Neurospora crassa OR74A: one gene and its partner. The protein of the gene in region 2 purifies or fractionates together with the protein of the main gene of each other region. This does not show direct contact. Links are inferred from orthologs where the notes say so. Each region holds a gene or a part of one and is shown on either strand. Other genes may lie near its edges.

Region 1 (3,976 bases), about 1.1 Mb from region 2:
TGGTACCGCAGTCGCAGGTGAAGTTGCGCTTGGCAAAGATCTCGACGAGAGTGTGCTCGCCGTGACACTGGACGGAGCAGGAGTAGCAGATGCCGGCCGCATTGTAGGGCGCTTTCGGGTCGGCGGGTGGTGGGTTGCAGGTCAGGCAGGAGAAGACGGCCTGGCGGAGGGGGCCGAGGGGCTTGGTGCAGGTTTCGATGCTCTGGTGGGAGGTTAGGATTGACTTTAAGGAAAAGGGCAGAGAAGACAAGGGACACGCACGTATGGAAGAGCTTCGCGAGCGTCGGCCTCTAGTTGCATTTGGTCGCGGATGAAGCTAGACCATGGTTAGTACTTTGTCATGTGGTAAGTCCAATATATGACAACATACTCTGCGGCAGTCTGAGAGTTTTCTGACTTGGCGGAGAAGCTTTCAGTACGAGTCTTGGTGAGCGCGACTGGTGCTGGAGCTCCATGGCCATCTGGAGTGGCCTCGGCGGGCTGTTGCGCCGGTTGAGGGTCCATGGGTGATGGATGCTTTCACGGTCAATCTTGGATGGTCGGTGGTCTATCAAAATTGTTGATAAGACAAATGCCTCGAGATGGTGCTGGATCACGAAAGATGGGTTCTGTCCGGAAGTCTTTAAAACAAAAAACAATTGCTGGGGCGCGAAGAGGAGGAGGAGGAGGGGGAGGAGGAGGAGGAGGGCGCGTTGGTGGAAGCGTGGGGAGAAGGACCGAGCTTGCAATGTACCCTTGGTTTGGTGTAAGGCACTGTGGTCTATATGTCCAAGCAGCACAGATTGGAATTGGGTTCAAGGAAACCTATTTGAACGTGATCCGATCAATAACATGGCCCTGTAGTATGTAGCACCTTATAGCTCATGCTTTGCTCGTCATTGTTCACTGGACTTTGAGCTTTTGTGACTTTTTGGGAATCTCGACGAGTCGAATTGGCGTGTAAGAGCAGCACCAAGTGGGTCCGGTACGCATTGCCAAGCCCATTAAACCTCAGCAACCACTTAACGCGACCGCCCTTATCCGGCTTAGCGCATCACGTCTGGCGCGTCTTCCCTGGACTGCAACGCGAGAAAAAAGCAGGGACAAGGTCGCCGCAACGAAGGGCAACATTCATTCAGTGGTTCCTCGACGCTGTTTGTCTCCATTCCCCTCCCCCCCCCCCCCCCCTTCTCTCTCTCTGTCTCACCCCGCAACATATCCTCTTTCTGGCTGGCATTCATTCTCCATAGTAACAACTAGGCCAGCATCCTCCACTCTCTTGTTTCTTCCATCTGTAGCTGGCTACAGTCCTCTGAGATACCCTCAGCCAAGTCGCAATCATGAGGTATGTGTGCCTCTTGCTCTTTCGTCTGTCACGGCTTCTCTTCGCAAGTAAACAGTGAATTAACGGAAACTCTCCAATACCAGTTCCCCGCTTCGCGACAACCCGTCCTCTGCCAACCGTGGCGCCGTTCCCAGGGCCACTCGCAAGCGTGCGCGTAACGATCACGATGGTGCTTCCTCGCTTCCCCGCGCTTCGAGCCCTGTCATGCCCTCTTCTCCTCCCGCCTTCCCAGTTGCCCATGGCGCAGATGAGGACGACGACATCGAGGAAGACGTCGCCGCTGAAATCGAAGACGACATTGACGACCTCGACGAGTTGGCCGAAGACGATGTAGATTTGTTCCGCGAAGGCTTCGAGCGCGATTATAGGGAACGAGACGAAAACGACGCCTACGAAGGAATTGACATCGACGATGACGAGTATGAGGCCCTCGACCCCGCCGCAAGGCGCCGTCTTGAAGCCAAGTTGGCCCAGAGAGACCGTCAAGTGAGGATGGGAATGGGCACCACGTATCTTCCTGGTGATGACGACGATGGTGATATCGACCTTACCAACCTGGAACGCCGCCGAAGAATCCGCTACAATGAAGACCCCGATGTCGATATGGATGGCGACATTATGGACTCGGAACTTCCCCTCGAGGCCCTGATGGATGTCAAGGCTGCCACTTTGAGCGAATGGATCTCAGTCCCGGCTGTACAAAAGACCATCCGCAGAGAGTTCAAGGCTTTCCTCACAGAATACACCGACGAGAGCGGTTCGTCCGTCTACGGCAACCGCATCCGTACTCTTGGTGAGATCAACGCCGAGTCTCTCGAGGTCTCCTACGAGCACCTCGCTACAGCCAAGGCCATTCTCGCATACTTCCTCGCCAATGCGCCAACCGAGATGCTCAAGCTCTTCGACGAGGTTGCCATGGAAGTCGTCCTTCTCCATTACCCCGACTACGAGCGCATTCACGCCGAGATCCACGTCCGTATCTTCGACCTTCCTATCCATTATACCCTCCGTCAGCTCCGCCAGTCGCACCTCAACTGTCTTGTGCGCGTGAGCGGTGTCGTCACCCGCCGCACCGGTGTCTTCCCCCAGCTCAAGTATGTCAAGTTCGACTGCACCAAGTGCGGCGTCACTCTCGGTCCCTTCCAGCAAGAGTCCAACGTCGAAGTCAAGATCTCTTACTGCCAGTCCTGCCAGTCTCGTGGCCCCTTCACCCTTAACTCCGAGAAGACCGTCTACCGCAACTACCAAAAGCTCACCCTCCAAGAATCCCCCGGCACCGTTCCCGCCGGTCGTCTGCCCCGTCACCGCGAGGTCATTCTCCTCTGGGACCTGATCGACAAGGCCAAGCCGGGCGAGGAGATCGAAGTAACGGGCATCTACCGCAACAACTACGACGCGCAGCTCAACAACCGCAACGGCTTCCCCGTCTTCGCCACCATCCTCGAAGCCAACAACATTGTCAAATCCCACGACCAGCTCGCCGGCTTCCGCATGACCGAGGAAGACGAGCACGAGATTCGCCGTCTCTCGCGCGACCCGCACATTGTCGACAAGATCATCAACTCCGTCGCCCCTTCCATCTACGGACACACCGACATCAAGACCGCCGTCGCCCTCTCCCTCTTCGGCGGCGTCGCCAAGCAAGTCGGCGCCCACCACATCCGCGGTGACATCAACGTGCTGCTCCTCGGCGACCCCGGTACCGCCAAATCACAAGTACTCAAGTACGCCGAAAAGACGGCCCACCGCGCCGTCTTCGCCACCGGCCAGGGTGCTTCCGCCGTCGGTCTGACGGCTTCCGTCCGGCGCGACCCGCTCACGTCCGAATGGACTCTCGAGGGCGGCGCCCTCGTCCTCGCCGACAAGGGCACCTGCCTGATCGACGAGTTCGACAAGATGAACGACCAGGACCGCACGTCCATCCACGAAGCCATGGAGCAGCAGACCATCTCTATCTCCAAAGCCGGTATCGTCACGACCCTGCAAGCCCGGTGCGGAATCATCGCCGCTGCTAACCCTATTGGCGGGCGGTACAACTCTACCATTCCCTTTTCTGCCAACGTGGAGCTTACCGAGCCGATTCTGTCTCGTTTCGACATCCTTTGCGTCGTGCGCGACACAGTCGAGCCTGAAGAAGATGAGCGGCTGGCGCGCTTCATTGTCGGGTCGCATTCGAGGAGTCATCCGTTGATGAACAACAACACGCAGGACGCTAGCGGTGGTGACTCCATGGAGGTTGAACACGATACCCAAGCTGCTGCGGAAACCCAACAAACTGGTGAACACGGCCGTAAAAAAGAGGGCGAAATCCCACAAGAGCTGTTGAGGAAGTATATCCTTTATGCCCGAGAGCGGTGCCAGCCAAAGTTGTATCACATGGATGAGGATAAGGTGGCGAGGCTGTTTGCGGATATGAGAAGGGAGAGTTTGGCGACGGGGGCTTATCCTATTACTGTAAGTTCTTCCCTCTTTCCTTTTTCCTTTTTTTTTTTTTTTTTTTTTTTTTTTTTTTTTTTTTTTTTTTTTTTTTTCTTTCTTCCTCCGTCACAAAATACAACACAATAACAACTGCTAACCTCACCCACCACCACCTTAGGTCCGTCACTTGGAAGCCATCATCCGCATCTCCGAAGCCTTCTGCCGCATGCGCCT
Region 2 (3,984 bases):
CTAGACGCATGAGAAGACGGAGGTGCGGGTTCTTGAACATGGCTGTGCGGCGAGCCTCGGTATCAGGGCGGATCGTGATATGTGGTGGTGCTGATTTGTTGGATCTCTCGTCGGCAGCTTCACCATCAGCCGCCCCCTCGGTAGTGGCTGCCATGGCCTTGTCTACGTTCTCCCATGCTTGCCGCTCACTCATTGCACTTGTCAGCTGATCCTTGAGCCACTGCAGATGCTCGACTTGCTGTTTGTCGATGAGTACGCTGACCGCAATGCCAATCTGCTCGTCGCGCTCTGTGGCTCGCTTGAACTCCAGCTCGGCACCAGGTCGTGGCGTAGTTGTGGTGACAGGCTTCTCATAGCCGTGCTCAAGGAAGTGCGTCGTGCTGCCAATCTTGGAAAAGAGCAACTCGGTGAACAACGCAGGCCGCTCTTGAAGCTTTTTGACACATTTCCGAATGATCTGCTTGGAGAGCTCCTCCCATTCCTTGAACATCGGCGAGCTTTTGTCGAGGGGCTCGGGACCTTGGACCATGTTGTAAAAGAGATTGATGATGTCTAGTCGGAATAGCATGATGCTCAGCTCGAGTTTGAAGGCAACGCGGTAGAAGTAGCGATGAGCGCGCTTCAGCTGTGCGTCGTTCAAATCCCGGTAGAATTTGGTGAAGGCGACAAATGTGTCGACAACACCCTGGGGAGCGAATCGAATGGCGAATTTCCCAAACTCGAACTTGCGCTCCTGAGTGACCCGCTCTGCATGTTGCTCATCGTCCCCAGAATCATCGGCATCATTGTCCTCGGGAACGCCAACGTCTTCTGCTTCCTCACCGGCGGCTCTAGCTGCAGCAACAGCAGCAGCAGCTTTGGCAGCCTTCTTCTTTCGGCGAGCTCGCTTCCGTGAGCGCACCTGCAAATCGACATTTTGCTTAGAGTAACCTTCTAAAATGCGGAGGAAAGTGTGGACAAGCTCGGTCGCGGCATCAAGATATTCGAAGCCTTGATCCTTGTATGTTCGAGCAATATTCGCGATAAGGTCGTGGGTTGTCTCCTCGTAAAAGAGACGGCTCAGGGTGTTTTCGGCAATCTCCTGGTCTTCCTCGTTGGGAGACTCTGACATCTCCTGGACTGTGAGGAAGATCTGGGTGTAACAGCGCATGACGGACGTGAGCAGTTGCCAATCCTTATCACTATAGGACCGGTCAAGCGCACGATTCATGGAAGCGAACATTTCCTGTTGGAGCACAGCAGCAACGAGGTTAAAACTGTTCACCTCCTCTCCGGCTGCGGACGTCGACTTCGACTCGTCCCTCTTGGCCTTTCTCCGCATCCGCTCGGCTTCGAGGAACCAGGCGACAAGGTAAAAGAACTGGCTCTTATGCTGGTTCAATGCATGCAATGCCTCCCGATCGATCGATTGCCTCACGTGCAGAAACAAGGGGTTGAAACCGGAGTCGAGGAAGTCTTGGACGAATGATCGCAGCTGCTGACGAGCTCTTTCATCTAGCGTCACCGGAGGGCCAAGGTCCTTGGGCTCCATCTCGGGTTTCCTCGCTCTTCTTGGCGGTCTGAATGTTTTGGAGTTATCCATCTTCCTCTCTCGCGTTTTTGCGTCCAAAAGAGCCTCTTGGCCAGATACCGTCACCATCTTGCCATCTGCTCGTTTCACCCAGATCATGGTCCCAAATCGACTGTGCCGAGTGGTGGTGGTTTTGTTGTAGGATTTTAGCATAGCAGCCTCCTTGCGCATCTCCGATGCCAGCTCTTGCCCCTTGGCTTTGTTGAGTTGCTTTTCACTGACGAAGAGCGAGCTGGGGTCAACTCTTTTTACAAGATGAAAGATGATTTCCATGATAACTACATCTTCGGTGCGGAAGTCCTCGCCCATGTTGGAGGCAAGGGTCAGCAGAGTGAGAAATATGTCTTGATACGAAAAGGCATCAATGGTTGCCGACCTGGATACCTGTGTCTCGTCGCCTTCGCATTTGACACCTTGCGGGGGTGCGATCATGGCAACGTTCCTCAAAAAGAAGAGAATGAGCTTGATGATGGCCTGGTCACGGGGTGTCCGCTCGCCGATAGGCATGGCCATGGAGGGAAGGGCTACCCTGACGGCGGTGTTGAGGATGGGTATCGCATCGAAGTTTATGATGGCGCGCTTGTAGCCAAGCTGGGCAAGCTGCAGAACGGGCATGTGACGATGGTGGTTGATGGTCATTTCGGCGCGCTCCTTCTCTATGGGCCAAGTAAGGGGCACCATGACCTCGAAACACGCCAGAGCAATACGGGCCTTGTACTTGCTGTCGGTTTCGCTTTGAGGCCATAATGTCAGGATCTGGAGCAGATCGCCGCCGACGAGGTTCGCTTCAGCCAGACATCTGGCGACGTCCATGCGATTGGTCTTTTCATCGTAGAATCGGATCCATTTCTTCAGGTCGCGCAAGACGTCTAGCGCTTCGTCACCGAGCTTGTAGCTTCCATCATCGTCCGCGCTGTAACCACCGAGCTATTCGGGTCGCCAGAGTCAGTACATCCGTGTATATAACGAGTCCAGAAGTGGACATACCGCAGAAACCAGGTTGGTGATGTGCGCCCGCACTTCCGGATGGACGACATCGTCGTTGATGTCTGCGGCCTCCATTTTGCGCAGAAATCACGGCGTCCAAGACCAGAACGGAGTCATACGAGTACTAGACAGACTCTCCCCAACTCTCAGCTTGTCTTGGAGGTCGTTTTGTTATCGCATGGATGGTGGCATTGGTCGGGCGCACTTTGTCGGGACGGGACACGCGTTTGTGGTGGTGGGAGACGCGCCGACCGTGTCGTACTTTTTAATGGAAATTGGTGGTATCTTGGTCTTGGCCTGCTTATCTCCCCAAGCGTTTTGTCGGACTGTTTTAAGATACCTGGGTAAGTAGGTACCTAATGTACCTAGCTACCTACTAGAGATACCTCTGCAGCAGTACCTGTGCACCCCGATTTCGACCTCGTGGAGAGCTGCGGAGTTACCCCTGTGGACGGGCAATCAACGACAGCCGAGGATCTTGAGTTGGCGCGGGAATCATGCCCGCAATTGCCCCCCCTGAACGACATGCTTGTACCTCTAGGTAGCGTACATAGTACTCCATACGCGCTAAAACCGACCCCATTTTCCCCGCCTAAGAAAAGGCTAGAGCCGCCCGTAGCTCCTGTACGGCAGTATGTTATGTCCCCCCCGTGGCCCGGGTCGGGCTTGTGACGTCGAGTTGGAGACGAGGACGGCCGAGGTTAACCGAATCCGACAACTTCACATCGTCGCATTCGCATTCTCTAGAGGTGCCCTGGTTGCCTACCTAGGTGTAGTCTTCCGATTTTTCTGTCCCTTTCCTTTCAGTCTCTCTCAGTCACAGTGTCTGCTTTGTTTACTTTCGCCGTGACGATCTCGCAAAATGCTTGCTAGAACCCTCGTCCAGAAGCTGCCCATGGGCGCTCGCGCCTTCAGCTCGACATGCGCCCGCAACGCTGCCGAGGTCAAGAGGCTCGGTGTCGTTGGCGCCGGCCAGATGGTGAGTCCGGCCCATATCATTCATGCCCATGTCTTCAACAACGGCAACGGCTGACTTGTCCTCCTTCTCCTTTAGGGCCTGGGCATCGCCCTCGTCGCCGCCACCAAGGCCAGAGTCCCCGTCACCCTTGTGGATGCCTCTGAAACGTCTCTAGACAAGGGCCTTGCATTCGCCGACAAGCTCCTCAGCAAGGATGTGGCCAAGCAACGCATCACTCAGGATGAGGCGGACGCCGCCCGCGCGCTCCTCCAGCCCACCACCATCCTCGAGGACCTGGACAGCGTCGATTTTGTGATTGAAGCTGTGCCTGAGATTCCCAAGCTCAAGTTCGACATCTTCTCCAAGCTGGCCGAGATCTGCCCTAAGCACGCCATCTTAGCCACCAACACCTCTTCCATCTCCATCACGCGCATCGCCGCCTCAACCACCAAGGACCCCAACGACACCT

What was found.
Region 1: the proteins of NCU09552 (region 2) and NCU04327 purify together in Saccharomyces cerevisiae (affinity purification with western blotting, with the first as the bait; 3 studies listed by BioGRID). This does not show direct contact. The link is inferred for Neurospora crassa OR74A from reciprocal best matches to the Saccharomyces cerevisiae genes TOF1 and MCM2.

Annotation. Positions count from the first base shown.
Region 1 is NC_026505.1:5,630,903-5,634,878, reverse strand, and holds the start of NCU04327 (DNA replication licensing factor mcm2), read left to right. Parts: upstream 1-1,167; 5' UTR 1,168-1,319; coding exon 1,320-1,324; intron 1,325-1,407; coding exon 1,408-3,778; intron 3,779-3,920; coding exon 3,921-3,976. Other genes in the region: NCU04328 (metaphase-anaphase transition protein), read right to left, coding at 1-202, 262-316, 371-504. UniProt on the Saccharomyces cerevisiae protein: Acts as a component of the MCM2-7 complex (MCM complex) which is the putative replicative helicase essential for 'once per cell cycle' DNA replication initiation and elongation in eukaryotic cells.
Region 2 is NC_026505.1:4,564,151-4,568,134, forward strand, and holds the start of NCU09552 (topoisomerase 1-associated factor 1), read right to left. Parts: upstream 2,802-3,984; 5' UTR 2,633-2,801; coding exon 2,558-2,632; intron 2,498-2,557; coding exon 1-2,497. Other genes in the region: NCU09553 (3-hydroxybutyryl CoA dehydrogenase), read left to right, coding at 3,420-3,536, 3,612-3,984. UniProt on the Saccharomyces cerevisiae protein: Forms a fork protection complex (FPC) with CSM3 and which is required for chromosome segregation during meiosis and DNA damage repair. FPC coordinates leading and lagging strand synthesis and moves with the replication fork.